2 linked regions of the Diceros bicornis minor genome follow. The protein of the gene in region 2 interacts with the protein of the main gene of each other region in a pairwise test. Links are inferred from orthologs where the notes say so. Each region holds a gene or a part of one and is shown on either strand. Other genes may lie near its edges. The genes, in order: BNIP3L and CLEC7A.

Evidence for each region.
Region 1: the proteins of CLEC7A (region 2) and BNIP3L interact in binary tests that used the Homo sapiens proteins (3 or more experiments, as listed by UniProt). The two-hybrid records come from large-scale screens. The link is inferred for Diceros bicornis minor from reciprocal best matches to the Homo sapiens genes CLEC7A and BNIP3L.

The regions. Positions count from the first base shown.
Region 1 is NC_080750.1:67,535,790-67,552,220, forward strand, and holds the start of BNIP3L (BCL2/adenovirus E1B 19 kDa protein-interacting protein 3-like), read right to left. Parts: upstream 7,585-16,431; 5' UTR 7,513-7,584; coding exon 7,413-7,512; intron 420-7,412; coding exon 236-419; intron 1-235.
Region 2 is NC_080756.1:52,028,304-52,044,599, forward strand, and holds the start of CLEC7A (C-type lectin domain family 7 member A), read left to right. Parts: upstream 1-7,773; 5' UTR 7,774-7,924; intron 7,925-8,918; 5' UTR 8,919-8,987; coding exon 8,988-9,090; intron 9,091-11,204; coding exon 11,205-11,303; intron 11,304-12,367; coding exon 12,368-12,505; intron 12,506-13,621; coding exon 13,622-13,773; intron 13,774-15,439; coding exon 15,440-15,558; intron 15,559-16,296.

The sequences.
Region 1 (16,431 bases), on a different chromosome or scaffold from region 2:
CTGATAAACATCTAAAAATGATACAATCTGAATCAGGAAATTGATTTGATCTGGGGAAAAACAGTGGGCACTCAAGTACTTGTCAATTAGCTGTCTCATTTAAACACACATGCTGCAATAAATCAGGAGTCATATTTTGTTAAATGAAGATATAAGCAATTTATATTGTCTAATGGGAATTAACCTCGTAACCCATCTGTTTCCTGAATTCTACCAAAACGTGGATATCACTTACCTATCACAGTGAGAACTGCCCCTTGAACTACTCTGTCCTGATTCGTGTTGTGCATCCAAAAGAATCTTCTCCATGTCTCCATTGTGGATGGAAGATGAGGACGGTACATGCTCTAGCCCCCCATTTTTCCCATTGCCATTATCATTGCCATTGCTGCTGTTCATGGGTAGCTCCACCCAGGAACCTGTCGGACAAGTCAGATAACTTAAGTTAGCCACAGCACAACCAAATTTATCATGCACACTTGTGAATATGGTGAGTTCTGATAAAAACTCTGACTCGACTCAAACCAAATGCAACAGTATTCTGAAGAAAATAAACAAGAAGCAATAAAAGTCTAAAAACGTATATAGTTCTGTTCCTGAAGCAGCTCACGTAATCAACCAATTTAGAAGAAGCTGCAACTCTAAAACTAGTACCTTAGAAAATGTGTCTTTCAGCCAATTTTCTCTCTGGTTAAAGCTTAGTTTAGATACAATAAACACTTTACTGAAAACTTTCAGGTTGCTTTTGAAAAAATAAATAGCTACTTTACTACCAGACAGGTTACTTACCTTTAATATTTTAGTTACATATATTTTTTTTCTGTAGTCTACCTCAGCTATTTAGTTGCATCCTCTCCACAAATGAAATAAACATATGGCTTAGAAACTTCATAAAGGTCACCTAAGTTAAGTTAACAACTATGTCTTAATTAGCACAAACAATTGAGAAGCTCCTAGAGAGGAAACTTAAATACAATCATAAAAATTTCTATTTGTGTACAGATCTGGAGCATAAAATTAATGCAGCTGGCTCTTAACTAAATCAGGTGACGATGCTAAAAATTCTGAGAAAGCTTTACCTCCGTCCCACAAAGTAGTTTCTTCTCTTCCTTTATACCTCACTCTTTCTATTCTTCCTCCTTTCCCTAAGCACAAAACACACCTTGTCAACTTGTCTTTTCTCTCCCGCGAGTTCCTATCTTTCTAGGATTTTCATTAGCCTTGTTGGTCTGAGGGGAAAAACAACTGCGCACCCGCCACAGGGACACTGACGTTTTCTCAGGCCAACAGTGGAAGGGGTGGAGCCACAGGAAAGGGGACGTGGCCTCAGTAATTTGGATAAGTCTTCAAAATATTTATTGGCCAAATGAGTTCGCTGAACCCATTAAGGTGCTTTAATTTTATGATAACAGTAGCAAATTAACCAACTCAATAACAAATAGAGATAGTGGTGTATTTTTTTCATAATTTCCATTCCTTACAACAAATTTTTGTTTTAGAAAATGTAACCAAGCAGGTTGGTGGGGCCATTCCTCTAAACTCACAGCAGAAGAGTTAAGAGAGTTCTGTCGCTGAACAGTCCTCCATCAGTAAATCAGAATAATCACCACACAGGCTCAAACCCTAACATGCTCTCTCAACGAGGTGATGACTATCCCAGATAACCTCAAAGGCAAACCTGGTTGGAAATCTGACTCCACCGCTATCTGTCGGTCTGCCTTTCTGAACTTCAGCTTCCTCATTTGTAAAACAGACATAATATCACAATGCCTACCTCCCAGGGTTGCTGTGAGGATGAAACATAGCAACATAGGTAAAGTGCCTAGTAAACAGGAGATGCTCAATTATCACTAGTTAAGAGTTTGTATTTGTAAAGTACTCAGAACAATGTTTGCTAAATAAAAACGAAATTACCCTTCCCTCCCTTTCCCTCTAAGGTAGTCCCAGTGGTTGTCACAGCCTCACAGTCACCACCAGTTCTTTGGGACTACACTGCCAAACAACATAGTTGTATGATATCTCCGTGGTCTCATTCTAGCTACACAAAATGGAAAGACTAGATAGAACTCATACTGGATTAACAAATTCAACAAAGCTAAGACAGATCTAATACTGCAGGTAATTTGACTAAATATTTGGAGCGCCTCTGGAGTGTATAAGAAATATAGTAAAAGCATCCCTAAATTTGAAGCTCTGCAAAATATTCTAATTGGAAAGAGAGACAGAGAAAGAGAGAGATATATCCAAACCGTTTTTCTCTACTCCCACTGTTTCTAGGATTGTCAAACTTATATTAAACTAACGTGACCAGTTTTCTGGTACAGAAGGCCAATGTGTGCCATAAACAAAAACAAGCCAAAGGCAAGAGCTGCTCCGGCAGAAGCAGAACTAAGGAACCAGGAGCTCCAGATGGGTCTCTGAGGAAGCCAGGCTTCCCTAAAATATAATTAATGTTCCCTTGAAGTAGCTGATCAAACAGAAAAAGGCTGTAACAATATCAGGTTTTCTGGACCTTCCTTTTTTGAAGGACTTCCAAACCAATATCTAAATCCTACTTTCTGCATTAAAAATATGTTAGCAATCAGAATCTAGGAACTTGAGGAGACATACATAGAAAAGCTTAGCAAAAGTGATCTCTATAATTGCTTTAACACCCTATAGCAGAACCAAAGGGATTTCTACTCCAGGCAGACAACATTTATTTGGCGTGTATTAGTGCACTGATTAAGAGCACAGGCTGAAGCTGGACTCCCAGTCTATCATTTACAGCTGTTACACCCTAGACAAGTTCCTTAACCTCTTTGTGTCTCAATTTTCTCATCTCTAAAATAGGGATAATAACTATTTCTACCTGAAGGTGGTCAAAAGGTACAAACTTCCAGTCATAAGATACATAAGTCCTGGGGACGTAATGTACAGCAAACTACAGCAACTATAGTTAACAATAATGTATTGTAAATTTGAAAGGTGCTAAGAGAGCAGATCTTAAAAGTTCTCATCACAAGAAAACAAAATTTGTAACTATGTGTGGTGACGGATGTTAACTAGACTTATCGTGGTGATCATTTTGCAATACATATAAAATCAAATCATTATGCTGCACACCTGAAACTAATATAATATTCCATGTCCATTATATCTCAGTAAAAAAAATACTGTTCCCTTCACATAAGAAAAAAAAATTTATCTACCTCATAGCATTGTTTGGAGGAGGAGATGAATAAAGCACATAGAAAAGTACACAAAGTCTCTAGTACATGCTAAGTGCTGGGTGTTATCACTATTATAATTATACTCTGTATCTTTTAAAAAACATTTCTTATTGCAAAATTACTGTATTCCTTGAGAATGTATACATCAGTAAAGATGTTTTTAACACCTCTGCTCTCAACCTCCCACATCTACTCCCAAAGGAAACCACTGTTAAGTTTCACATTTAGACTTGCAGAGTTTTTCAATGAAATATAATTGTTTTGCTTTCATTTTCCAAAAAAAAAAAAAATGGAATCATATTGTACATATTTTTCTGTAAACAGTGTTTCTTCCTTAACAGCTTGTAGATGTCCTTCAATGTCCACACGTACTGCCTTACTTCAGTCTTCTGGACAGCTGCATTGTATCCCATCATAAAGATACACCACACTTTACCCATCATCCAAATGGCAGTGGTTAATCATTACCCACAGGAGTGTTTCTAATATTTTGTTATTACAACCAGGGCTTCCCTGCACATTCTAGAGGGTAATTTAGCAATATGTATTAAGAACCTTAAAAAGGTAGATTTCCTTTAACTCAATAATTCTCTTCCAGAAATATCATCTAAGGGAATAAACAGTGCTGCAGGGAAAGTTAGGACAGATATTCATTAAGGGGTTACATATTCGCTTTATCTTTTGAGTAAAATGGAAAAAAGCAGGCTTGTCTTCCACTACAGATGAACTACACATGCCTTTTTCTCATCACCTCGTTCATTCCTGATTTACAGCCTCAGACTTTCTTGATGTTCTAACTCTACCAATTCTCACAATGTCGCTTTTTACTTGAAAAGGAAACAACGCAAGATATGAGGATTGTGCTGTCCAAGAAATACAAAGTTGAAAAAAAGCTGAGTGAACTTTCTTCCTAAAAAGCTTTAAAACGAAAAATTGGAGGCTCTATTTTGTTAAAAGACTACTTACACACCAAAAACTGTTCTCTTATGCCAGACTGTACACATACACAATACAAGAGATATTTTCCAGTTTAAGTCTGAGAACTGTTAAGAGATTCGGAGAAGCATGCTTCTACATTCTCTAATATAGTACGCATCATGAAGGCTGGTACAATAATTGTGATTACATTCATGACTGTATGTTGTACATACTCTTGATAGTTTTATAATCACCAGTTCAATGCTCTTGCAAAAAGGGGAGTGGGACAGCTAGGGGGTGGGGGAGGGGAGAAAAGGAGAAAGAGTATTGCTGATTTTTTCCCCAACTTTTCAAGGTCCCACATGTAACTCTTATCCTAACCAGGGGTAACACATTTCATTATGTCTTATCTTCTTTCCTCAAAGCCTTTATTTTATTCAAGTTCCTGAAGATTGAATCCAGATCAAGAACTGTCATTGACATTCTTCTAAAAACAAAGTTTGTCCTTTTGCACAAGTAGGTACTTACACACCAGTTACTTTTGTATTCAAAACAGTATCACAAGGCAGTGAAGTTTCACATGTCATAGCCTTAAAAGCCTTCTTGCCACACTGGGGAAGCAAGTATACCATGGTCGAAGATGTTTAAAAAGAAAATAAAAGGCTGTTCTTCCTACAATAAACAATAACAAAATTCTACTGCCATGATTTTCCTTATATTACTGACTGAATTTTAAGACATAAATGTCCAAAACAAATATTCTTAAGTAACTTGATAGTTTTCTCAGGAATAAAACTAACAACTGGAAACTGGAAAATATCCTTTTAACTTTGGAAGTAGTTCAGATATTTGTCCACTAATTTGTAATGAAAGTGTACAGTCCTCCTACAATGCTAAACTAAAAAAAAAAAAATCAGAGAAAGGTTTCATTATTCCACATATTTCAATAATTTGCTATTAAAACTCTGCTTTGACCTCTGAACTAAAGATAAAATCCCAAGCCAAGGATAATCTGTACAATGAGTTCATCTCCTGTTTTTCTTAGTTGTGCAACTTTACCCAACAAAGAACTTCAACTTATCAGCAATTAGGATAGTATTAGATGCCTGAATAAGTTGTTTTGCTCCGCACTCAAAAATCACTTGAAGGAATCAATAAGCCTTCTTGTTTTGTTCAGTCCAGTGTTGTATAATGAGCTAAAAAAAAAAAAAAACCAGTAAAAGGCAAAAGGCGAGGAATGAAATATGGCACTAAATAAAAGCTTTTCAGTCACTTTTAAAAGCTCACCCTACCCCAAATACAACACTTTCTATCTAGCAGATTTCCCAAAGCAACATTTTGATATCCCACACAGGCTGAGTGTTCTTCCACTTCTGTAAGAGCTGTTATACACGCAGCAGCTACTGATTGGCCAAGGACATCAAATACTTCAAAGGGCTGTGAGACTCAGAGTCAAACAATCACATATAGCTCAACCTCATTTTTTTGTTAAATGGTCAAAGGAAAATTAAAATTCCTCTGCTTTCTGTGAAATGTACACACAGGTAACCAAACACCCAACTTACACAAGTATCATAGGAAAACACTTGGGTACAATTAAAAAACGGTATATTAAAAAGAGATAGGCAGGTCACCTCTGTACATTAGGTGGAATAACATGCTGAGAGAACAAGAAACCCACACAACCAGGGGATTCTAGGCCACTGAAGTGTCCTGAAAGGAGCACTAGGTCTGGTAAAAGTAAAAACCTCAGCTCTAGGTGCCAGCCTGCTGTGAATCTGGACAGCACACTTTAGACGGGTAAATAACACGGGCGAGTTCTCTCTCAAGTCTCCTCCCATTCTAAAATCCCATGCTTCTGAAGAGTATGCTAAAAAGGGGTAAATAATTTAAAAATGCATATTAATATGTGAAGCAAATAACATTCAAAGACATAAATTAATCCTAATTTACTGCGGGAAATAATATATAAATCTTACATTCTAGAACATAAAATAGACAAAAGTTTTAAAAAGTCAACATTTAAGAAATTTATCCACCAAAAGATGGAGCAACAGCAATAAGCAATGATAACATCTTAAAATACTCTAATTCTATCCCTATCTTGTGAGGACAGGAACTCTCTTCCCTAAAATAATCTTTAGGCCATGCTGCAACACCTCCCTCTGATGAAATACATAGCAATGCCTTTAAACGTCATTTAAGCACCCAAATGATTTTTAAACGATTTCATCTAGCCATATGGTAACTGTCCCAACTACCTCTTTCATGAGATGAATTACAGAATGGTTAGGCAAGAACGTATTCAAAAAGACTCCGAGCTCTAAAGACAACAGGGACCACCTTAGCACAAGATGTCTGGGCATCAGAATGTTCTGAAAAGCAACTGTAGCTGACCGCAACTCAATATTGCCCAGTAACTTTCAATCGCCCGTGTGTGTGTCTTTTTAATCCCTGTTTCTGAAAATTCATTGCCCCAGACTCCGTGATTTGTGCAATCTTGGATGGCTCAAGAGGCTGTTCATAAACAGTTTTACAGGGCACATAACCCCATCGCTTCAAAAACAAAAAGAAAAAAAAAAAAGACACTTGAGTAACTCTGAAAAATCTCAAAAAAAAAAAAAAAGGGTAGCATAGGCTCCTCACCCCACCTCTCTGTGATACAAGTAACCACTAAATTACCAAATGATTTTCCTGACCAGCCCGCGGTAACAAAGGCCCGCGACAAGAGGGCTCACATTCGAGCCCTAAGGGAAGGCCGACCAGGGAGGTGGGGTCAGCGGGGCCGGCCCACGCCCCGTCGCACACCTGACCGCCCGCCATCCCTCGGGCGCCCCCTCCCCTGGGCCGGCCGGCCGCGTCCATCCCCCGGCGTCCCCGCCGCACGTCCCCATCCCTGCCCACGTCCCCTCGGCCGCCCGCTCCGCCCACCCTCCCTCCCCGCGCCTGAGGCCCGCCCCTCCACGCCCCGATTGGCTCCGCTCAGGGGCCCACCACAGGTGGGATCGGCTCGTCCCCATTCTCTTCCCACCCACCTGCCCTCCCCGACACCTAACCCCAGCAGCCCCTCACCCAAAACCCCGGGAGGAAGGGGAGACAGGTCAAAAGGAAGACAAGAGCACTCCTCCTGACAGGTAACGGGAGCTGTCAGTCACCCTCACATTCTCGGCCTGGACCAATGGGCTGCCTTCTCCTCCCGCCCCGCGCGCGGAGCTGGCAGCGGCGGCCACAGCAGCTCCTCCTCCCCCATCCCCTTCACGGAGCCCGCCGGCCCGCACTCACTGTTGAGGCCGGCTGGCGGGGGCAGAGACTGTTCACCGTCCTCGCAGTTGTTGTTGTTGTTGTGCAGGGGCGGCGGCTGCTCTACTAAATGAGACGACATTGTCGGGCGGCTGGAAGAGCTGCGGCCGCAGCAGGACCGTCTCTGGTTCTCGGGCAGCAACACAACAAGCCGAGTCCCCCGCCCCCTTTTCTGCGCCTGCGCAGTCCCTCCCCTGCCCCTGACGTCAGGGCCCGCCCCAGCCACGTGATGACAACACAACAAGCTGCGGGGCGGGGCGCGGGCGTTCCCAGGCCGGCTCCGGACGTGGAGACGCGAGAGTCACGCTGACGCGCGCGCCAGGAATGAGTTCTTGCGTGTTATTTGTACTGGTCTGATAAAGTGAGTTATGCGGCTGGAACTGGGCTTAGAGGCTAGGGAGAAGTGTGTAATGAGGAAGTGTAAGGTGCTCATGTGTTGACAACAAAATATTCCACACCTACAGGGTCAGCATTGTTTTAGCCAATCCGTGAGCACTTCTTGTTTAATGTCTGTAAGGACTCACTTCTGTAATAGGTATCATGGTGACACAAAGGAAGCAAAAACCCTGCTGCCTTCCCCGCCATAAACTAAAGCAAAGCTGGTGGAACATTAACACTCCAAACAGGGAACAACATAAGGCAGGCCAGACTTTGTTGTTGTTAAGGAATTTCAAAGATTTTAATTACAAATGTAACTCGAGATCATTGTAAAAATTGGAAAATTTTAGGAAAAGATAGAGAAGAAAATAATCACCCAAATACCATCACCTAATTTATTTCTGGGACATAACACGAGAAGCCATGTTTCCTATATGTGGGCAGCACGAAACTACTTTTTGTGCTTAAACACTACACCTACTTCATGTATCCATATCTTTGTCCAGTTTCCTTGGTCTGATTTATATGTGGCATATATTTCTCTCAGACTGTCACTTGTCTTTTAACTTTGTTTCGCTCTGCAGACGTTTAAAATTTTCGTGTAATCAAATCTATAATTTTTGTATGGCTTGGGAATACGCTCACACCAAGGTTATGAATCTATTCCCTATAACTTTTCTGATTTTACTAAGTTTAATTTTTATATTTAATCCATCTGAAATTTAGTTTCGATATGTTGTAAATTAACTTCATTTCTTCCTAATTGAGTAGTTAATTGACCCAACAATATTTATTAATTTTTAAGACTTCCTTTCCATGCTGATTTGAAATTGCACCTTTATCACATTCTAAATTCCCACAAAAAGCCGAGTCTATTTCAGGCCTTTCTACAATAGCTCTGTTTGATAACTATTAGAGAAAGTTTCTCCTCATTTATCGTTTTAAAAATTTTCATGACTGTTTAATTACTTTTAAGATGAACTTAAAATTTGACTTGTCTAAGATTGACCATGTGTTGGTAATTATTGAAGGTAATGATGGCTACATTAACTGTAATGTGATGGATACATTAAACTATTCTTCCAATTTTTTAATGTGCTTGAAAAATTTCATACTAAAAAGTTTTTTTAAAGGATTGATTTGTCAAATCTCATTGCAGATTCTTTTAAGATTTTGGTCATAAATGTATTCAATTAATAAATTAATTGGGGGGGATAATTCACATATTTACAAAATTGTTTTCCCATTCTATTTTTCTTAATTAAAAAAAAGTACTTCTTCAAAAATGTCTTCAACATGTTTTGATCTTTTGTGAGTTTTGGTACAATCATGCTCATTTTGTAAAAAATAATTAGAAAGTTCCCTTTTCTATGGTCTTACGTAGATGACATTGAAATTACTTTTCTTTAAGGATTTGTTAGAATTCTCCTAAGGAAACATCTGGACCTAGTGTTTTTAGGGGGATTAGCTCTGTTTCTACAGGATGTCACCTTTATTTCTAATGTTGTGTTATTTGTCCTCTATTTTTTCTTGATTGTATTACCTAATGGTTTATCTATTTTAGGGCCTTTTTAAAATCTAATTGCTTCTTCCTAATTGTATTCTTAACCCTTTTTTTAACAGCTTAACTGAGATATAATTCATATACTATACAATTAATCCATTTAAAGTTCACAATTCAGTGTTTTTATCCTATTCACATAGTTGTGTAACCCTCACCACAGTCTAATTTTGGAACACTTTTGTCACCCCTAAGAGAAACCCTGTACTCATTAGTCACCACTCCTCATTTGATGCTTATTTCATTCTTTCTTTAATTATTTGGGTATTTAAGAATTTCTCCCTGGTCAGAGTGTGTTTTTGCACTATTTCTAGTTTGGAGTTTTTTCTTAGGTTTTCTTTAGGGCCTAATATGTGGTTCCTTTTGGGGAATGTTCCATGAGTATTTGAAAAGAAGGTGTAGTTTCTGTGTTCAAGGTATCAGGTGTGATGTATTTATTAGAACTACCTTAATAATAATGTCATTTAAAATTTTGTATTTTTCCCCTCTTTATGTGTCATCAATTCCAAGAGGTCAATTAATATTTCCCACTCCTAGTATGTTTCTGTTTCTTCTATCTCCTTTCACTATAGTCGATGCTTCATTATGTGATGCACAAATATTCGTAACTGCCTCTTTATCACTGTGAAGTGGTTAAAATTTTGTCCTCAGTTCAACCTTGTGTGTTATTAAAATCATGATGCTGGTTTTTATTATTGTTGTTGTTTTTGTTTAGTTGCAACATCTTGATGCACCCCTCCTTTTAATTTTCCACCTTTCTGAATCACTTTCTATTAGGTGTGTCACTTATAACTCAAAAAGTAGTCTTTGCTTTAGGACCTAATCAGAATTTTTCTTCTTTTAATAGGATAGTTTAACACATTTATATTTATTGATAATATAAATGTATTTGGATTTAATAGTGTTATTTTATATCATGCTTTCCATTTAATCTCTTAAAATATTTTTCACTATGGACCTATTTGTTTTATAATATATTTCATCTTATGACTTAGAAATTTTTATTTTTGTTTAATGATTTCCCTTTATAGCTATATATTTATATAATTCCTTTAGTCCTCCATTTCTTTAGACAGTTTCTTTAATGCCCAGAAAGGAACCATAATGAAATTAGTATAATTCCTCTTCTTCTATGTTTCTCTCTACTACCCATTTTTTAGTTAACCATATTCTACCTTAATACCGTTGTAGTTTTAGATATAGTTGTACATCGATCACTTGATTTATCAACTTAATATGATAAAGTTTGACAAGTAGAAATAAGGTAGCATACTTGCCCTATCTCTTACTTTTCTCCCTTTTCCCCACCACTACTTACTTTTGTTAATTATTCATTTCAATATTATTAGAGTTTATACATCGTAGTATATGTGCCCTATAGATATTGCCATAATCATGCTGTGTCATAAAACACTCCAAACTCTCTGGCTTAAACAAGAAACATTTATTCTCTCTCGTGCAATTGAAAGATAGTTAATATAGACTCAGCTCAGGTGGATTTGGTTCCAAGGTTAGGGTTGGTCCAGCTCAGCTCCCCTGTCTGTCATCCTCCTTGGACCATGGGTTGGCCAGGGCATGTTCCTCTCACGATGACGAAAGAAACTCAAGAAAAATGAGCAGATGCAGCTCTGTAACTATCATTTCCATGCACATTCCATTGGCCAAAGCAAGTCAGATAGCCAACGGCAAAGTCACATTGCAAAGGGAGTGCATTCCAGGAGGATAAAGAATTGGGAACAATAATATAATCTACAATAGTCGTTAGCATAATCCCCATGTTTGTTTTAGTTTCTGTTCTGTAGTTATAGATTCACAGCTCATTATGGGTCCTAGTGCCACAATTTGTACAATTATCTCTGGCTAGCTGAAGTGTTCCACCTGATGATAGTATTTCCTAAGGTAATGCATCTTCTAAAAGATTGACCTGTTGGCTGCAGATTTTTTTCTTAAAACAATTTTTTTGCACAGTAATTGACATACAACAAATTACATATTTATAAGTACATAATTTGATATCTTTGGACTTACATATACACTGTGAAACCATCACCACAATCAAGACGGTAAACATATACATCATCCCCAACATTTCCCTAGTGCCTTTTTTATTTTTTTTAATATTTTTTAATTAATTTTTTTTTTGGAGGGGGGTGAGGAAGAGTGGCCCTGAGCCAACATCTGTTGCCAATCTTCCTCTTTTTGCTTGAGGAAGACTGTCCCTGAGCTAACATCTGTGCCCATCTTCCTCTACTTTTTTTGTACGTGGGACACCGCCACAGCATGGCTTGATGGGTGGTGCATAGGTCCGCACCCAGGATCTGAACCTGCGCACCCTGGGCCATGGGAGCGGAGCATGAGAACTTAACCACTACACCATCGGGCCAGCCGCCTAATGCCCTTCCCTTCCTTTCACTCCCGAGTGATCAATGATCTGCTTTCTGTTACCATAATTTGCATTGTACAGAGTTTTATATAAATGGAATCATACATTACTTTTTTTGTTTTGGCTTCTTTCACTCAATATAATTATTTTGAGATTCGTTTACATTGTTGTGTATATCAACAGGTCATTGCTTTTTATTGCTAAGTAGCATTCCTTTGAATGGATATACCATGATTTGTTTCTCCATTTATGCATTGATGGACATTTGCATTGTTTCCAATTGGGGGCTATTTCAAATATGGCTGCTATGAACATTTATGTACAAATCCTTGTATGGACATATATTTCCTTTTCTCTTGAGTAAATACCCAGGAGGAAAATAGATGGATCATATGGTAGGAGTATGTTTAACATTTTGAGAAACTGCCTAAATATTTTCCAAAGTGGCTATACCTTTCCACCAACAGTGTGTGAAAGTTCTGGTTCCTCAACAATCTTGTTAGTGCCTGGTACTGTGTTAATTTTAATTTAGCTTCATTGATTCGTAGTGTGCAGTATTGTTTCATTGTGGGTTAATTTACATTTCTCTCATGATAAGGCTGCTGAGCAGCTTTCCATGTGCTTGTCATCCATATATCTTATTTGGTGAAGTGTCTGTTCAAACTTTTACACATTTTTTAAATTGAATTGTTTTCTTATTTTTGAGTTATGAGATTTCTTTATATATTCTCAGTACAAATCTTTTATCAGGCACGTGCCTCTACAAAGATTTTTCCCCCACTACACGTACCTGTCTTTTGTTTCTCTTAACAGTGTCTTTTGAAGAACAGTTTTCAATTTTGATAAGTCCAATTTATTAATTTGTTCTTTTATGGATTGTGCTTTTGATGTCATATCTAAGAAATCTGTGCCTAATTCAATGTCACAAAGATTTTCTACTCTGTTTTTTTCTAGAAATTTGATACAATTGCATTGAACACGTAGACTGCTTTGGGTAGTATTAGCATTTTAACAAGATTGTCTTTTAATCCATGAAGATGGGATGTCTTTCCATTTATTTAGATATTCTTTAATTTCTTTCAGCAGTGTTTTATATTTTTCAGTGTACAAGTTTTTCATCTCCTTTATTAAATTTATTCCTAGGTATTCATGTGTATGCAGTTGTAAATTAGTTATTTTTTAAATTTCCTTTTCAGATTGTTCTTTGCTATTATATAGAGACAACTGATTTTTGTGCTGATCTTGTACCCTGAAATTTGGCTGAATTTGTTTATTAGCTCTAGTAGTTTTTTTTTTTTTAATTCTTTGGGATTTTCTATGTATAAGATCATGTCATGTGAAAATACAGATAGCTTTATGTCTTCCTTTCTAATTGGACGCATTTCATTTCTTTTTCTTGCCTAATTGCTCTAGCTAGAACTTCCAGTACAATGTTGAATAGCAGTAGTGAAAGCAGGCATCCTTGTCTTACTGATCTTAGAGGAAAAGCTTTCAGTCTTTCACCATTGAGTATGATGTTTACTATGGATTTTTCATAAATGCCCTTTATCATGTTGAGAAATTTCAATTCTATTCCCAGTTTTCTGAGTGTTTTTATTATGAAAAGATAAATTTTGTCAAATGTGTTTTTTGTGTCAATTGAGTGATCATGTGGGTTTTTTCCTTCATTCTATCAGTTACATTGATTAATTTTCTTATGTTGAACTTCCCTTGCATTGCTGGGGTAAATCTCACTTGGTCATGGTGTATAATCCTTTTAATATGCTATAGGATTCAGTTTGCTAGTATTTTGTTAAGGATTTTTGCATCTGTATTCATAAAGGATGTTCGTCTGTAGTTTTATTGTGGTGTCTTTGTCAGTTGTTGGTGTCAGGGTAATATTGACTTCATACAATGAGTTAGGAAGTAGAAATTGCCTTCTACCATTGTTTGGAAGAGTTTGAGAAGATGTTAATTCCTCTCTAAATATTTGGTAGAATTCACCAGTGAGGCCTTCTGATCCTGGGCTTTTCATATTGAGAGGTTTTTGATTACTGATTCAATCTCTATTCTTGTTGTAGGTCTACTTGAATTTTCTATTTCTTCTTGAGTGGGTTTTGGTAATTTGTGTCTTTCAAGAATTCATTCTTTTCATCTGGGTTTTGTAACTTGTTGGCATATAATTGTTCACAGTATATCTTATAATTCTTCTTATTTCTGTTTTGTTGTTAATAATGTCCCCAGAAATTCATTTCTAATTTTAATTTTTTGATTCTTCTCTTTTTCTTAGTTAGTCTAACTAAAGGTTTGTCAATTCTGTTGATTTTTTCAAGGAACCAACTTTTGGTTTCATTGATTCTTTCTGTTGTTTTACTATTTGTCTATTATGTTTATCTCTGCTCTAACCTTTATTATTTAGTTCCTTCTGCTAGCTTTTGGTATAGCTTGGTCTTCTTTTTCCAGTTTCCTAAGTCATAAAGTTAGGTTATGGGCTTGAGGTCTTTTTTGATATAGGCATTTACAGTAGTAAATTTTCCTCTGAGTACTATTTTGGCTGCATCCCATAAGTTTTGGAATGTTAGGTTCTGTTTTCATGCCCATCAGAGTATTCTATAATTTTCTTTGCAATTTCTTCTTTAACCCACTGGTTATTTAAGAATGTATTGTTTAATCCATACATATTAGCAAATTTTCCAGTTTTCATTCTGTTATTGATTTCCAGCTTCGTTCTCTTGTGGTCAGAGAAGATATTTTGCATGATTTCAGTCTTTCTAAATGTATTGAGGCTAGTTTTGTGGCCTAACATATGGTCTATCCTAGAGAATGTTCCATTTGCACTTGAGAAGAATATATATTCTGCTGTTGATGGGTGTAGTGTTCTATATATGTCTGTTATTGGTTTATACTGTTTATACTGTTGTTCAAGTCTTCTATTTCCCTATTGATCTTTGGCCTATATGTTCTATAAATTATTAAAAGTGAGAGTATTGAACCCTCCAGCTATTATTGTGGAAACTTCTATTTCTCCCTTCAATTCTCTCCAAGTTTGCTTCATATATTTGGGGGCTCTAGTTTTTTGGTGGATATGTTTTTAATTGTTATATTTTATAGATGAATTGACCCTTTTATCAATATATAATGACCTATTTTGTTTCTTGTATCAATTTTTTAATTAAAGACTATTTTGTCTAGTACTAGTATAGCCACCCCAGCCCTATTTAGGTTACTATTTATATGGAATATATTTTTTCATCCTTTCACTTTCAACATATTTCTGTCTTTGGATCTAAAGTGAGTCTCTTGTAGACAGCATATACTTGGATGAAAATTTTTAAACCTGTTTTTCCAATCTCTACCTGTTGATTGGACAGTATAATCCATTTATAATTAAAGTAATTACTGGTAAGCAAGGACTCACTTCTGCCATTTTGCTAATTATTTCTGTATATCATACCTTTATTCCCCTCATTTCTTCCAATACTACTGCTTTTCATTAAATTGACTTTTTTTGCAGTGTACAGTTTTGGCTCTCTTCTCATTTCCTTTTTTGTGTATTTTCAAATATTTTCTCAGTGGTTACCATGGCGATTGCATTTAACCTCCTAAATTTATAACAATGTGGTTGGAATTGATACCAATATAGCTTCACTAACATACAAAAACTCTGTTCCTATATAGCTCCACTCCCCTTTATGTAGTTATTGTCACAAATTATATCTTTATTCATTGTATGCACATTAACCTAGATTTATAATTATTGTTTTATGCATTAGTCTTTTAAATCTTATAGGAAACAAAAAGAAGAGTTACAGACCAAAATCACAACACTAGTTTTATGTTTACCTGTGTACTTATCTTTACCAGAGTTCTTTATTTCTTCTTAAGTTTTTGAGTTACTGTCTAATATCATTTCATTTCCCCCTGAAGGATTCCTTTAGCATTTCTTGAACTGCAAGTGTACTAGCAATGAACTCTCTCAGCTTTTGTTTAACTGGGAATGTCTTAATTCAGTCTTCATTTTTGAAGGATAGTTTTGCCAGATATAGAATTCTTGGTTGATAGTTTTTCTTTCAGCACTTTAAATGTTATCCTACTGTCTTCTTGCCTCCGTGGTTTCTAATGAGAAATCAGCTGTTGTCTTATTGAGGATTTCTTGTGTGTGATGAATCACTTCTCTCTGTTGCTTTCTAGATTCTTTCTTTGTGTTTGGCTTTCAACAATTTGCATGTAATGTGTGGCAGTGTGTATTTGTTTGCATTTACCATTTTGCAGTTCATTGAGCTTTTGGGATATGTAGATTTGTGCCTTTTATCAAATTTGGGAAGTCTTTGGCCATTATTTCTTCAAATATTCTCTAGGACTGCCATTATGCATAAGATGGTGTGCTTGATGGCATCCTACAGGTGTCTTAGGCTCTGTTCATTTTTCTTTTTCTGTTTTTTAATAGACTTTACTTTTTTAGAGAAGTTTTAGTTCACAGCAATATCAAGCAGGTACAGAGATTTCCCATATACCCCCTGACCTCACACATGCATAGCCTACCCTATTATCAACATTCTGCACCAGAGTGGTTCATTTGTTAGAATTGATGAACCTACACTGACACATAATTATCACTCAAAGTCCATGGTTTACGTTAAGGATGACTCTTGGTGTACATTCTCTGGATTTGAGAAAATGTGTAATGACATGTATCTATC
Region 2 (16,296 bases):
CACCCAATGTAGGTGCACCTAAATATATAAAGCAATTATTAACAGACATAAAAACAGAAATAGACAGTAACACAATAATAGTAGGGGACTTTAACACTCCACTTACACCGACGGATAGATCATCCAAACAGAAGATCAATAAGGAAACATTGGCCTTAAACGACACACTAGAACAGATGGACCTAGTAGATATATACAGAGCATTCCATCCAAAAACCGAAGAATACACGTTCTTTTCAAATGCACATGGGACATTCTCCATGATTGATCACATATTAGGCCACAAAACAAGTCTCCATAAATTTAAGAAGATTGAAATAATACCAAGCATCTTTTCTGACCACAACGGTATGAAACTAGAAATCAACTATAGGAAGAAAATCAGAAAAGCCACAAATACATGGAGATTAAACAAAATGCTACTGAACAACAACTGGGTTAACGAAGAAATCAAAGAAGAAATCAAAAAATACCTGGAGACAAATGAAAATGAAAATACGACATGCCAGAATTTATGGGATACAGCAAAAGCAGTTCTAAGAGGGAAGTTTATAGCGATACAGGCCTATCTCAACAAACAAGAAAAATCTCAAATAAACAATCTAACAATGCACCTAAAGGAACTGGAAAAAGAAGAACAAACAAAGCCCAAAATCAGTAGAAGAAGGGAAATAATAAAAATCAGAGCAGAAATAAATGAAATAGAGACTAAAAAAACAATAGAAAAAATTAATAAAACCAAGAGCTGGTTCTTTGAAAAGATCAACAAAATAGACAAACCTTTAGCTAGACTCACCAAGAAAAAAAGAGAGAAGGCACAAATAAGTAAAATCAGAAATGAAAGAGGAGAGGTTACAACAGACACCTCAGAAATACAAAAGATTATAAGAGAATACTATGAAAAGCTATATGCCAACCAATTCGACAATCTGGAAGAAATGGATAAGTTCTTAGAATCATACAACCTTCCAAAACTGGATCAAGAAGAAGTAGAGAATTTGAATAAACCAATCACCAGTAAGGAGATCGAAACAGTAATCAAAAACCTCCCCAAAAATAAAAGTCCAGGACCAGACGGCTTCCCTGGTGAATTCTACCAAATGTTCAAAGAAGACTTAATACCTATCCTTCTCAAACTCTTCCAAAAAATTGAGGAGGGGGGGAAGCTCCCTAACTCATTCTACGAAGCTGATATTACCCTGATACCAAAACCAGACAAGGACAACACACAAAAAAAAGAAAATTACAGACCAATATCACTGATGAACATCGATGCGAAAATCCTCAACAAAATACTAGCAAATCACATACAACAATACATTAAAAAGATTATACACCATGATCAAGTGGGATTTATTCCAGGTATGCAGGGATGGTTTAACATTCGCAAATCAATCAACGTAATACACCACATTAATAAAATGAAGAACAAAAATCACATGATCATCTCAATAGATGCAGAGAAAGCATTTGACAAGATCCAGCATCCATTTATGATAAAAACTCTGAATAAAATGGGTATAGAAGGAAAGTACCTCAACATAATAAAGACCATATATGAGAAACCCACAGCTAATATCATCCTCAATGGTGAAAAACTGAAAGCTATCCCTCTAAGAACAGGAACCAGACAAGGATGCCCACTGTCACCACTCCTATTTAACATAGTATTGGAAGTCCTAGCCAGAGCAATCAGGCAAGAGAAAGAAATAAAAGGGATCCAAATTGGAAAGGAAGAAGTGAAACTGTCACTATTTGCAGATGACATGATTTTATATACAGAAAACCCTAAAGAATCCACCAGAAAACTTTTAGAAGTAATAAACGAATATGGTAAAGTTGCAGGATACAAAATCAACATACAAAAATGAATTGCATTTCTGTACACTAACAACGAAGTAGCAGAAAGAGAAATTAAGAGTACCATCCCATTTACAATTGCAACAAAAAGAATAAAATACCTAGGAATAAACTTAACCAAAGAGGTGAAAGATCTGTACACCGAAAACTATAAAACATTTCTGAAAGAAATTGAAGAAGACACAAAGAAATGGAAAGATATTCCGTGCTCTTGGATTGGAAGAATTAACATAGTTAAGATGTCCATACTTCCTAAAGCCATCTATAGATTCAATGCAATCCCTATCAAAGTTCCAACAACATTTTTCACAGAAATAGAACAAAGAATCCTAAAATTTATATGGAGCAACAAAAGACCCCGAATAGCTAAAGGAATCCTGAGAAAAAAGAACAAAGCTGGAGGTATCACACTCCCTGATTTCAAAATATACTACAAAGCTATAGTAACCAAAACAGCATGGTACTGGCACAAAAACAGACACACAGATCAATGGAATAGAATCGAAAGCCCAGAAATAAACCCACACATCTATGGACAGCTAATCTTTGACAAAGGAGCCAAGAACATACAATGGGGAAAAGAAAGTCTCTTCAACAAATGGTGTTGGGAAAACTGGATAGCCACATGCAAAAAAATGAAAGTAGACCCTTACCTTACACCATGCACAAAAATTAACTCCAAATGGATTAAAGACTTGAATGTAAGACCTGAAACTATGAAACTTCTAGAAGAAAACATAGGCAGTAAGCTCTTCCACATCGGTCTTAGCAACATCTTTTCAAACACCACATCTGACTGGGCAAGAGAAACAATAGAAAAAATACACAAATGGGACTACATCAAACTAAAAATCTTCTGCACAGCAAAGGAAACCATCAACAAAACGAAAAGACAACCTAACAATTGGGAGAAGATATTTGCAAACCATACATCTGATAAGGGCTTAATCTCCAAAATATATAAAGAACTCATGCATCTCAACAACAAAAAAACTACCAACCCAATTAAAAAATGGGCAAAAGACCTGAACAGACATTTCTCCAAAGAAGATATACAGATGGCCAACAGACACATGAAAAGATGTTCAACATCACTAACTATCAGGGAAATGCAAATCAAAACTACAATGAGATATCACCTCACGCCCGTCAGAATGGCTATAATTAACAAGACAGGAAACAATATGTGTTGGAGAGGATGTGGAGAAAAGGGAACTCTCATACACTGCTGGTGGGAGTGCAAACTGGTGCAGCCACTATGGAAAACAGTATGGAGATTCCTCAAAAAATCAAGGATAGAACTACCATATGATCCAGCTATTCCACTGCTGGGTATTTATCCAAAGAACTTGAAAACACCAATTTGCAAAGGTACAAGCACCCCTGTGTTCATTGCATCGTTAGTCACAATAGCCAAGACTTGGAAGCAACCTAAGTGCCCATCAAGGGACGAATGGATAAAGAAGATGTGGTATATATACACAATGGAATACTACTCAGCCATAAGAAACGATGAAATCCAGGCATTTGTGACAACATGGATGGACATTGAGGGTATAATGCAAAGTGAAATAAGTCAGAGGGAGAAGGTCAAATACCGTATGATTTCCTTCATTAAGTAGTAGATAATAACAACAATAAACAAACACATAGGGACAGAGATTGGATTGGTGGTTACCAGAGGGGAAGGGGGGAGGGAGGAGGGTGAAAGGGATAATTTGGTACATGTGTGTGGTGATGGGTTGTAATTAGTATTTTAGTGGTGAACATGATGTAGTCCATGCAGAAATAGAAGTACAATGATGTACACCTGAAATTTTTACAATGTTATAAACCAATAAAAAAAAAAAGAGTAAAAAAAAAAAAAAAGAATACCACTTACTCAGTTTTCCTTATTTGTAACGACTCATTATGGAATATTTCTGTGTTTAAAGTGTAGATTTAAAATAAACATTGATAGCATTGCACAGTGATTATAAAGTCAAATAAACAGAACTTGAGCTACTTCAATGGTCCTTCTATGTGACCATTTGTAATTATTATTTGTATTTATACAATTTTTCAATTTGCAGAGACATTTGACAGCTTCTAAAATTGATCCTGAAGAAATAAAGACATGGGCAATATTGTAATTTCTGGAATAATTGTGAAATAGGATTTTTTAAATCTTTGCCACACATATGCTATGTATACATCTTTTTCCTATTTACCTATTTGTGGCTTCAGTGAAAGAAACTTTTCAGAATTAAAATGAACAAAAAGTGGTCTTCAATCAATAATGAGCAAAGATAAATTGATGACTCTGGGTACACTATCTAATCAATGTGAACATGTGAAAAAGATTACTTTTGACAATGTCATTGGCAAATTTTGAGAAAGTAAGGGTCCAAAACAAAAATTGTAATATTATTATTTATTATGGTGACATACCTATATAAGGGTATAAATTCTTTCTCCCTTTCCAAAAAATATGTTAATATGATTGAAAATATTTTATCCATATAATTAAAAGTAGTTTGTATGATAATATTTATTTTATGTCAATGCACACATTTATATGCACTTTTATTTTTACTGGTCTGATTTTATATATCAAGTTGAATAAAAACTATTCACTACCTATATTTGTTTTCTGGCCGTTATTACCATTTATTCCATTTCATGATTATTACTGAATATTATTTTTTTATATAGAAGAGAGTGAAGTAAAAAAGAAAAAATGAGGGGCCTGCCCAGTGGCGTAGTGAAGTTCATGCGTTCCACTTCCATTGGCCCGGGGTTCGCCAGTTTGGATCCTGGGCGCCGACCTACTCACCGTTCATCAAGCCATGCAGAGGTGGCGGCCCACATAGAAGAACTAGAGAGACCTACAACTAGGATATACAACTATGTATTGGGGCTTTGGGGAGAAAAAAGAAAAAGAGGGAGATTGGCAACAGATGTTAGCTCAGGGCCAATCATCCTCAAAAAAAAAAAAAAAGAAAGAATGAACTGCTCCAGGTGTTGAATATGCGGGATACACCACGGTTCAAGGAACTCAAGGAGTCATGAGGAACAGAGTTATAAGCATCTAACAATAAGAAAATACCACATAAATATCATCTCTTCCTTGAGAAGAATGGGAAGTTTTAAATACAAGTGCCATATGAGACTGATGTTTACGTGCACTATATACATTCTCTCCTCAGTAAAACAGTAGAAGAGGGGCTCAAAGGAGGAGGGATAGTAGAGGTTATATGTGGTATGTGGACAACGTAGCAAACTGGAACCAGGAAACCACTGGAACAGTAGGGTAGCTGGAGCATAAACAGAATCAGAGAAGAGAAGGTGGATGGGGAAAAGATGGTGAGGGGCACATTTTCACTATGAAGTATCTATTGATTATAAAGAGAGCCTTTGGTTTAATCAAAAATTTTTAGACACTCTAAGAAAGGACTCAATATCAATTACTTCATTTGTAGAAAGCATAAAAATAACACTGAAAGGGTGCTGTGAATAAAGCTAAGTAATTTTCGTGGTGTGCCCAAACCAGGGGATACATACATAAATGATTTAAGTAAATTTTTTTGTCTGTATCCTCCAAATATGATGTGGAACCAATCAGGGTGGGGATTGGGCCTCATGCTTCCTTGTATCTAGGCTTCTGAGAAGATGGTAAATGTTCAGTAGATATTTAATTGCTTAACGGATAGATAGAGGAAGGAAGCAAGGGAGGGAGGAAGGAAGGAGACTCAAGTTAGCATTCAAATTGGAGGTGAAATTTGATCAGCCCTGAGCTAACATCCATGCCAATCCTCCTTTTTTTTTTTTTTTTTGCTGAGGAAGACTGGCCCTGGGCTAACATCCATGCCCATCTTCCTCCACTTTTATATGGGATGCCGCCACAGCATGGCCTAACAAGTGCATTGGTGCACACCCGGGATCCGAACCCAGGCCGCCAGCAGCAGAGCACACACACTTAACTGCTACTTCACGGGGCTGGCCCCTGATGATTTTTTTTTTTTTTGAAACTTATAAACATTAATGGGGACGGTACTTTGGAATGTTGGTATCCTGAAGACTTACATTTTTTTTTCTACAATGGTTCTTAAGTGAATACTTAGTTTGTTTTTAATAATCTTGTTTTCTATTTAATTAATTTATTCATTTATTTCTATAAGTTTGTATATTTATTCATTTCTCTTTATTCATTTATTTGTATAAATTTTCCAAAAAGTCACATTGGATATATGCCTCAGGCTCTCTTGTGTTTCTTTTTGCTGGTCTAACACTCTTTCTAGTGCATCTATCAAAATAGATATTTATTTGGGAAGAATTTTATTTTTTGAGATTTAATTCTGAAAGCAAATACTACTGTTAACAACAGCTTAATATTTGTAGAAATAAGAGCATGACCAGGCTAATTTAGCTATTCTGAATGCAGTTCTTTCGATTGTTTTATTGACATTATATTCAATCTGACTCAGATTCAATTAATTGTAGTTTTAGTTTATAAAATGTGTTTTTCACTTCTAAGAACTCTTCTCAGATTCCTCATTTTTCTTTGAGGAAAAAACTTGCTGTATGGATGCAATTTTTCATCAAATTTTCACTGAGAATATGAATTAGATAATTGTTGTTTACTGGGTTTTGTTTGTTTTGTTTAGGTTGGTTTGTTTTTCACCTGTTTCTTACATTAATGTTTAACCAGGGGTAGTTTTCTGTGAATACTTAGACTGTCTGTCTCCAACCCTCCCCTGCCCCTTGAAATGCTAAGGGACTTTTTTTCCTAGTTTATCCATAATTTGTGTAATCGCTGTTCAATTGTTTTAGTCTCAGACAAAAAGAGAAGACTAAAGTTTACATTTATTGAAAAAATTTCAAGAGCCAATTGTTCTTGTAGGATTGTGATTAAATAGAGGAAAGTAGTCATAAAAAATAAAGTTATTACGTCAAGTTCTCTCATTGGAAAGTCTGAATTGACAGTAAAAAGCCAGCCTCTTTTTATTGCCTGGAAGGTGCTCTTCTCATTGTTGTTCTCTAGTTTTGTTTAGTAGGCTCACTTCTTCCTTGAGCCAATTTATTCACTCTGTGAAAAATCCCCTGCTTTCCAACTATCCTCTGCTTTCCGAGGGCTGCATTATAGAAGTGAAAGCTGATGAACTGATGGATGTTGAGATTAGATCCACCTTACTACTTTGCAACGTGTCTACAAAAAGTTAGTAAAACTTTTGTGGCAGCCTGGGTAAGACGTAGAAACTCACTTATTTTCCATTGCACTCTCTTCCATTTGGACATGTTGTTAGTGAGAACTGCAGAACTCTCGGCGTATAACACCTCCGTCCAAACCTCTGCACTAAGAGACGTGACAAACTCCGGCATGGCTTCTAACAGCTTAAGGCTGAGTCCCTAGCGTCACCCCAGACCCCCGTAAAATGCCTACTTCAGAAAGCTCAATGCTTCCAGGAGAATTTACTGTTTGTTCTAGTCAAAACTTGGTGATAGACAGATAGGCAGGTCCCTGGAGCCCCTCTTAGAGCAGTTACTTTAGAAAGCTTGCAATTATAGATCCTTTCTCTGCCCTTTGAGATGTAAATCTACCACCCAAAACAGTTTCTTCAGGACCTGAGAGCCATCTCTTTGAAATGCAACCATTCAGGGAGTTAGGGACTTTTACTCTCTGTGGGAAGATAGGGGCTTAACTTCAGAGGGGGCCACCATCCTTCAACATGCACCATTGCCTCCTGTCATAAAAGCAGAAGTTCATTTCTCTTCTGGAGAGGCACCAATTAACAAATTCAGATGGCCCAGTCACACGGATTAACCCCCCTTAATACCACTCAGTGCCTTTCCCTTCGCATACTCCAGCCTTTAAAAAGTCTCCAGTCTTTGTTTTGGGGAAGTTGGGTCAGTTCATGCTGGGCTCTCTTGTCTGTTGTAATAGTATTACTGAAGGAAATCTGTCTTGACCGCTTTAATGAGTGTCTGGCGTGGTCTATCTTTGACAACAGTCAGATGTCTCCTTCATGCTACTTGCTTCAAAGACTTGTAAACAGGTTGGATACCTCTGTAGTTTCCAGCAGTGGTAAGTGTTTTCCGTATCTCATTAATTTGGACATTACTATGGAAATTGGAAGAGAGGAAAAAAATCAAACATTTAGCATAATATTTCAGTGCAAGAATCCTCCATAACTTCTTACTTGCAATATAAGTGTATGGAATGGTGAAGGAGGCAGTGTAGCATAACAGAAAAGATCATGAGTTTTGCAGCGAGTAGACTTTGACTTGATTCCTTTCTTCAATATTCTTATTAGCTTCTTAAAATTGAGCAAGGGACTAAAATTTCTATGTCTCATTTTCTTCATTTGAAAATAAGAATAATACCTCCCACATAGACTTGTTGGAAAACTGAGATTGAATGAGAAAACATGTGTAATGGGTAGTACTTAGCTCATAGTAATTGTTCAATAAATAATTTACCACTTCATGTTAATCTCTGACAAATCCCAAAGAGATTTGTTTCCTCTCTCTGTTGTTACAACAGTGCACCTCCTTATGGCATCCTTCATATACCTATCTGTAGGTTTCCTGTTATTAGACAAAGAGCTTCTTCACAGGTATCATTTATCCTTGTATCCCCAGCTCCCGCCAATTGAAAAGATGGGCATTCTGAAAATGTTTACTGAACAAGCGACTACACGAATAAGTGAATTAATGTATAGTTATAGCGAAGTATTGGTGAACTCGAGGTATCAAAATTGTTTAATAGTTTATATAGACCAAGTCAATTAATGATGTCAAATTCAGTTGTGAGAATAATGAAAGCAGCATAAGACATTAGTCTCTTCATTTTTCTCACATTTTGTCTGAAACAAAGATCTATCCATTGTGCTGCCTTATTATTTTTTTAAGAGTCATTAGTCTCAGAAACAGGATCTAAAGATACAAATGGGAAATTGCTATGGCAGAGTTTTCGTTTCCTGCTTTTGGATAGCTGGTTGGACAACTTAAGCTCTTGTTCAACCTCAGTAAATACCTCTCCCACATGATTTGACTCATAGATCCTCTTTTGTCCACAGGCAGTTGTCTTAGGAGAAGAGAGAAAAGAGCTCTCAAATGCTGTGTCAACTCGGGAACCCAGGAGAACAATGGAATACCACTCTGAGTTAGAAAATGTGGATGAAGATGGATATACTCAATTAGACTTCAGCTCTCAAGGCATCGCCAGGAGACGTGTGGTCTCAGAGAAAGGTATTTTTTCTTTCTGCCTTCAGCATTCTTATTCTCATCAACTAAAACCCATAAGGGGAGAAAATATGAGAGACTTGTGATTTGTAGGGCTTTTATTAATATGTTTTAAAAGGTTTTCAGAAGTCATTGAAGATAATTTGAATGTAACTAAGCCTTTTCTCTTGGCAATCATTCAGTGACTAATAACTAGTATGTAAATTAATTATTCTGATGGCAGAAAATACAATTTCTCTGCTCTGTAGAAACAGACACTTCAGCAGTAAGGACCTGTAATAAGTGTGATGAAATGCAGAGATGAAAGAATTTCAACAGGAGTGGCTTGTTGTTGTTTGATAGAGAGGAGTAAATTGTAGAATGGAGGTCGAGGAAACTTAAATAAGTGTATATGAACAACATCAGGATATTGGAGAGAAGAATGAAAAGATGGGGGCTGGCCAGGTGGCATAGTGGTTACAGTTGATGCACTCCTCTTCGGTGGCCCAGGGTTTGCCGGTTCGGATCCTGGGCGTGGACTTATACAATGCTCATCAAGCCAAGCTGAGGCAGCATCCCACATAGAAGAAATAGAAGGACCTACAGGGGCCGGCCAGGTGGTGCAAGTGGTTAGGTGTGGCGCTCCGCTGAGGCAGCCCGGGGTTCGCAGGTTTGGATCCCGGGCATGCGCCGACGCACCGCTTGTCAAGCCATGCTGTGGTGGCATCCCATATAAAGTAGAGGAAGATTGGCATGGATGTTAGCCAAGGGCCAGTCTTCCTCAGCAAAAAGAGAGGAGGATTGGCAGATGTTAGCTCAGGGTCTATCTTCCTCACAAAAAAAAATCAAAGAAGGACCTACAACTAGGATGTACAACTGTGTACTGGGGCTTTGGCGAGAGAAAAAAAAAGAGGAAGATTGGCAACAGATGTTAGCTCATGGCCAATCTTCCTCAAAAAAAAAAAAAAAGGTTCCAGGATGCCATCTACGAATTAAAAAAAAAAAAAAGAATGAAAAGTTGGAAGATAGGTGAGGGAAAAAAGCAAACTTTTTTTGTGATAAAGGCCAAAAGGAAGTCAGAAGTCATAGAGTTTAGAATCCTGAATCTGATATGATTTTTATGGTAAGAAATGAATTTGGATTTTTTTAAACAAAAGGAAGTTCTATGTACACCGGTGAAAGAAAATATATATTAGATGAAAAGATCCCATTAGCAGGGCAAGAGTCTTAAACAAAATATAAAAGGCGTGAAAAATGGAGAAGGGCATTAAAAGATCTCTCTTTTAGAGAATGAGAGGTTTAGTCCCCTCTGTGATTCTTCTATTTGACAATGTTCTGAAATGCTCCTACTGCTTATTCTCAGTCAAAGGCAGAGCTATGTTCTTGCTATGGTGATGTTGACATAAAAGGAATTCTCTGTTATCAAGAGAGAGATTGCTACAGGTTTTGACATCAGAATTTGTTCTCTTCTTCTTTCCTGTAAAATCACATTGCACAATTATTTTCCTTTTGCCACTTATGAATTCTTTTCTTGCGCAATCTGTTGGGGAATAGTGAAGATACTGGATGATGCAAGAGGTAGGGAGGTGTGTGTGTTTATGCATATGTGTGAACAAACAGTGAGTTACCTACAATGTGCTCATAATCTCTAAACTAGGTGCTTTTATGTGTGTTAGCTCATTTAATACCCACAATAATCCTTTGAGGTATTATTACTCCAATTTTTCACAAAGAGAAATGAAAAAACAGGAAGTAATTTGCCCAAGGCAACACATGAGTGAAAAGGGAAGATTACCCTTAGTAACCAGTGCTATTTCCCCTACGTTAAGCTGTCTGTTCTAAGAATGAGTAAGATTTCAGGATCCTGGTAGTGTCAAGACCTATAAATATTAATGTGGATCTAAAATTAGGCGTGCATAGATATCACAGCACTGTGCTCAAATTACAGTTGCAGAACCTGAAGAAGTATGCTAAAGCTGGGGAAAAATTCAGACTAACTCTACATGACTAGATTCTCCAGGAATCAGTGATTAATGGTTCACTTTAGAATTTGCCAGATTTTGATGAACTGTAGAATTAAAGTGCTCCATGATCCCTCATTCTATTTCTTCCTTCAATTTCTGCTCCCTCTGGCTCCTCAGGAACCTGTGCTGCATCTCCTCGTTGGTGTCCCATTGCTGTGACTTTGGGAATCCTATGTTTGGTAATACTGGTGATAGCTGTGGTCCTGGGTACCATGGGTGAGTATTGGTGGGGGATATTAACAATAACAGATATTTAATAAGCATTTATAATGTGCCAGGCACTCTTTTAAAAGCTTGACATGCATAATCTAATTTAATCTCATTATTAACCCTATTGAATTGGTACTATTAATTCTCATTTTATTTATAAGGGATGTGAGAGTCTGGAAGGTTATTTTGTTTTTCTAGAGTCATAGACTAGTTAGTGGTGAGATCATGATTGCAAATTCAGGTGAATGATCTAAAAAAACTCATACTCTTAACTACATGGTTCTACTACCCTCCTTGAATAGCTGGTTTCAAAGCTGTGGAATTCCCAGGATAAATTAATGGAAGGAAACCAGTGGAGGTAAAAAAGGAAGTACAATATGGTGCTTATCTTCCTAATGAAATAAATTCTCTAAAGAAACTACAAGCTATTTTTATGAGTCTCCTGATTTAAGGAAATTGTTTTATACCTGATCTTTAGTCTAATCTCCTTTGGATATATCAGCAATTACCTGAGGCACTTACTAAGTACTAAGTAGATGTTTTGTGATGGATGAACAAACATTAGATTTTAAATCACATGCATTGTATTGTCAATAAAGTATTATTGTGCCTTCAGAGAGTCTTCATTAGATTCCTTAATTAGTCAGATGTTTATTGAGTACATTTATGTTATAGGTACTGGGCGAGTTCTCAAGGAGCTCTCATTTTCAACTGGAAGGAAGATAGCTTTATTACCATTTCAAATCTATCATGGCTCCAATTGACTCTTTCATTTACTTCTTGCTTTCTCCCTCAAAATCTTTCTTCTCTACGTACTTCATTTTTCTCTTTTTTACTACACCTCCTTCATGGCAGTTATTTCTTTCCATCTATGTAACCCGTCAATCTATCTATCTATCTGTCTATCTCTATCTTTACTTCTCCATTAGCAACGTATTATCTATTTATCATTAATCAACAATGTATCCCTTTATATTCCAAGAAAAATATGGGATTTGGGATTTTAGTTTTCAAACATAGTAGAATGACTTTTTTTTCCCTGTCATTATTATGGTTGTTGGTATCTGAAGCTTTTTGGAGATCCAATTCAGGGAGCAAACCATTGAAGAGCAACAACTTTCCATCAAGAAATAGAGAGAACCACAGTCAATCTACACAATCATCTTTAGAAGAGAACGTGGCTCCTACCAAGACTATCACAACTGCAGGCAAGGGCAGAGTTAAAGGATTAATAGAATTCTTGATTCAAAAGGGATAATTCTTGGTGCTAAGACCTGGAGCAGAGGGAATGAAGACAGTACTTTTACATGCAGTGATTGTGCATTCAAGGAAGGCACACAGTAGTATTATCTCAGTATAATACGCACCTGTCTTATATACAATAAAGTGGTATCATAAACACCCCATGCACTTGGCTGAACAGTTCTAAGTTTTTGTTTTTGTTTTTTCAAATCAGTAACTAATTTATCACTGGATAAGTGTTTAGGCCTAAAGGAGATTGTATAATTGGTGTGAAGGAGAGAAATGTGTTCTCTCCCCTTAGGGAGTTGACATTTTAAAGTGATATAATTAGAGTAGCAAACAGGACATCAGAAAGGAAGGAAGAGAGAGAAAAAGGAAAGAAGGGAAAATGGTGCTAAGAATTGAGGCTAAATTAAACACATACAAAAGAGATAGACCTAATAGATGTATTCCTGAAAACTCTAGTTAAATTTGTTTTTCTTTAATCATACAATTTCATTACAATTTTACATACTCTTGGTCTTTATTTCTAACTGCCTCATAATTGACTATGACAATATTTTGACTTCAATTTTCTATCTTTGGACCCATACCTCATCACTATTGGTATCAAGTAGCTAATAATACAAAACAGAGATACTCTATAATGTGAATAATTGCTCTTTTACTTTTCTCATTTGGAAAGTTGCATTCTGAAATGGATCTCACACCTGTAAATTAATTACTTCAATGTCTACTTCAATGATTGATTTTGAGTTAATTCATTTTAAAAGTTATGACTGAGAAAGGGAGTTCTAGACTGAATTTGAAGGAAAGGAAAACAAGTCAAGAAGGAAAGGAGAATTGACTGTCTAAAACACTGTTTATAGTTACTTGATTAATTTTTTTAATTTTAAATGAAGGGGAGGATTTTAAGGTGGTCTCCTCTGTAATATTATATCCCTATAATTTGAATTGAAAATAAAGTATATTATTAGCAATTCATTGATTATTTAGTAAGTGTCCTCAGGATGAATGGTGCTCGCAGTGAAAGAGTGAATTGTTATGATATGAACCTCATTATACTTATCTTTTATTTCCAGGAGTTCTTTCCAGCTCTTGTCCCTCTAACTGGATCATACATGAGAACAGCTGTTATCTATTTAGCACATCATTAAGTTCCTGGAATATAAGTAAAAGGCAATGCTCTCTACTGGGTTCTAATCTCCTGAATATAGACAGCTCAGAAGAATTAGTAAGTGTAGACTTCAATTATAACTATCTGTGGTCTATATTGAGCAGAAAAATAGAGGTAGATTCCAGGTAATGATAATTTTCCCTAAGAGAAAGTCCTTTTTAATATTCTCCATAGTTATAATAGCATGCACTAAGTGGGTAAGGTATATAATATGTTTTTCTTTTTAATTAATTAATTTAAAAAATAAGCACATTTCACTTTAAAACAAATCTTTTCAAACAGATTCAAGTTTGCATGACTATGATAATCAGACCACTACTCATTTTTGTGGGTTTGGATTTCAATTTTTAAATTTGGTGGACTAAAATAGAAAATTCTCCTCTTTGTCATCATAATTATCAAGAAAAATAGCAGCAATTTTAATATACATTTATAAATCCTTTACTCCTTGCAAGCTACTGGGAAAGGCAAAGAGGTTTAAAAACTAAACTTGCTATTATGATGCTCATATAATTTGTAAGAAAAAAATAAACAATTCAAAAGCTGTTAAAAGTTGAATATCTGGTATTGGCAACAAATGCAATAGGAATTCAAAGAGAGATCTCTCTTGACACAAAAAGCATTACGGAAAAAGTGAGACTTACAATGCATCATGAACGAGGGATAGAACTGAGATGGGCTATGAGAAGGGGTTAATGGTCAGAAAACATCCTAGACTATACATCTAAACAATCTGCAACTTCTCCGTTTACTTTCACTACTCTCAGGTTTTTGTTTCTGTCATGTCTTACCCAACAGTTCTAGTTCATAAGAAAATTACTGGAAGTAGATGTATGGCGAAGAAAGAGAATGAGACTGGAAGTCTTTCTGGTTTTTAGACTTTCCTATAATTGCCACTATATTGTACTATATTTGTTAACAATTCAAATATCATCATTAAACCCCAGGTTACTTATTCATAAAGCAAGCAATGGGACTAAACTATTTTTAAGTTGTCATGTAACTCTGAGAATCATTTCTTTTTTTTGTGTGTGCGTGTGCCTGTGAGGAAGATCAGTTCTGAGCTAACATCCGATGCCAATCCTTCTCTTTTTTGCTGAGGAAGATTGGCCCTGAGCTAACATCTGCCAATCCTCCTCTTTTTTTGCTGAGGAAGATCGGCCCTGGGCTAACATCCGTGCCCATCTTCCTCCACTTTCTATGGGACGCCGCCACAGCATGGCTTGACAAGCAGTGCGTCGGTGAGCGCCTGGGATCCGAACCTTCGAAGCCTCGGGCCGCCAAAGTGGAGCGCGCACACTTAACCACTGCGCCACCGGGCCGTCCCCATGAGAATCATTTCTTGACAAAGGTCGTGTAAATTTTTACTTACAATTTGAGGAAAAGGAGAAGGTTGTGGATTTCGTCAGGTAGTTTGAGTGGAGATGACACAATTTTGACGTTATGGAGCTATTCTTTATTGAAAAATTAAGCAATAATGACCCTGAAGAAATGAAATATGCCTTTTGCGACACTGAATGGCATTCAAGAATTACCACTTCTCTCTAGGTTGATGCCAGTGTATGCATGCATCCTTCACCAAGGTGATTCAATCTTTTGTCTCTTTGTCAATGTTGCTAAGAGTGTCTCTCTATCTCTTCTGTCTTTGTCTCTCTATCTCTATCATCTCTATCTCTACCTCTCTGTCTCCTTGACAAGTATTTGTATTTATGTTTCCCTACAGGAATTTATAGCAAAGCAAGTGTCGTCCCAACCTGATAATTCATTTTGGATAGGGCTTTCTCGCCATCAGACTGAAGGAGCATGGTTCTGGGAGGATGGCTCAATATTCTCTTCTAACTTGTAAGTATCTGGAGAGACGAAGCTTCATACCCTTTCTCAGAGAGGTGAGACCATGTCAAGTGGTTAAGAATCTGTTTATTGGCCATATAAAGAAAGAGAGAGAATGACAGAGAGCCATGGGGAGAGAGAAAAGAGTGAGCCAAGAAAAAAAGAGAACAAGAGTGTAGAGGAGGTCTTTATAGTCAAAAGAGCTGAGTGGCCATTTAATGCTATCAACACAAGTGTTCCCTCAGCTTTCTTACCAGAAGGGCATCTCTCTGAAATTGTCCAGTAAGGAGTAATCACTGTCACTCAGTGTTAAACTGTGGTTAAGAGCATAGGTTTTGAAGTTAGTTCTCAGCTTGAGTCAGTGATTGGCCCACTCAGTGTAAAATTGGATAAGTTGCTTAACCTACCTGAGCCCCTCTTTCTTCATCTGTAAATGAGAATTAAAATAGTACCTACCTCATAGAATTTTGAGATAAAGGAGAGAAAATAAAATCACTTAGCATAGTGTCTTACATATAGTAAATATGTGATACATGCTATTATCATCATTTTAAAAGCAACTACATTTCATATTTTGTGAAGTTCTTGTAAACATATTTCACATTTGCATCATTACGAATTCTTCCTCATTGTGTTCTCCAGAGAAACAGAGTTCCCCATTCGAACCCTGACTAATACAGACACAATGAGGAAGAATTTATATAGAGAGATTTATTATGAGGAATTGGCTCACATGATTACGGAGACTGA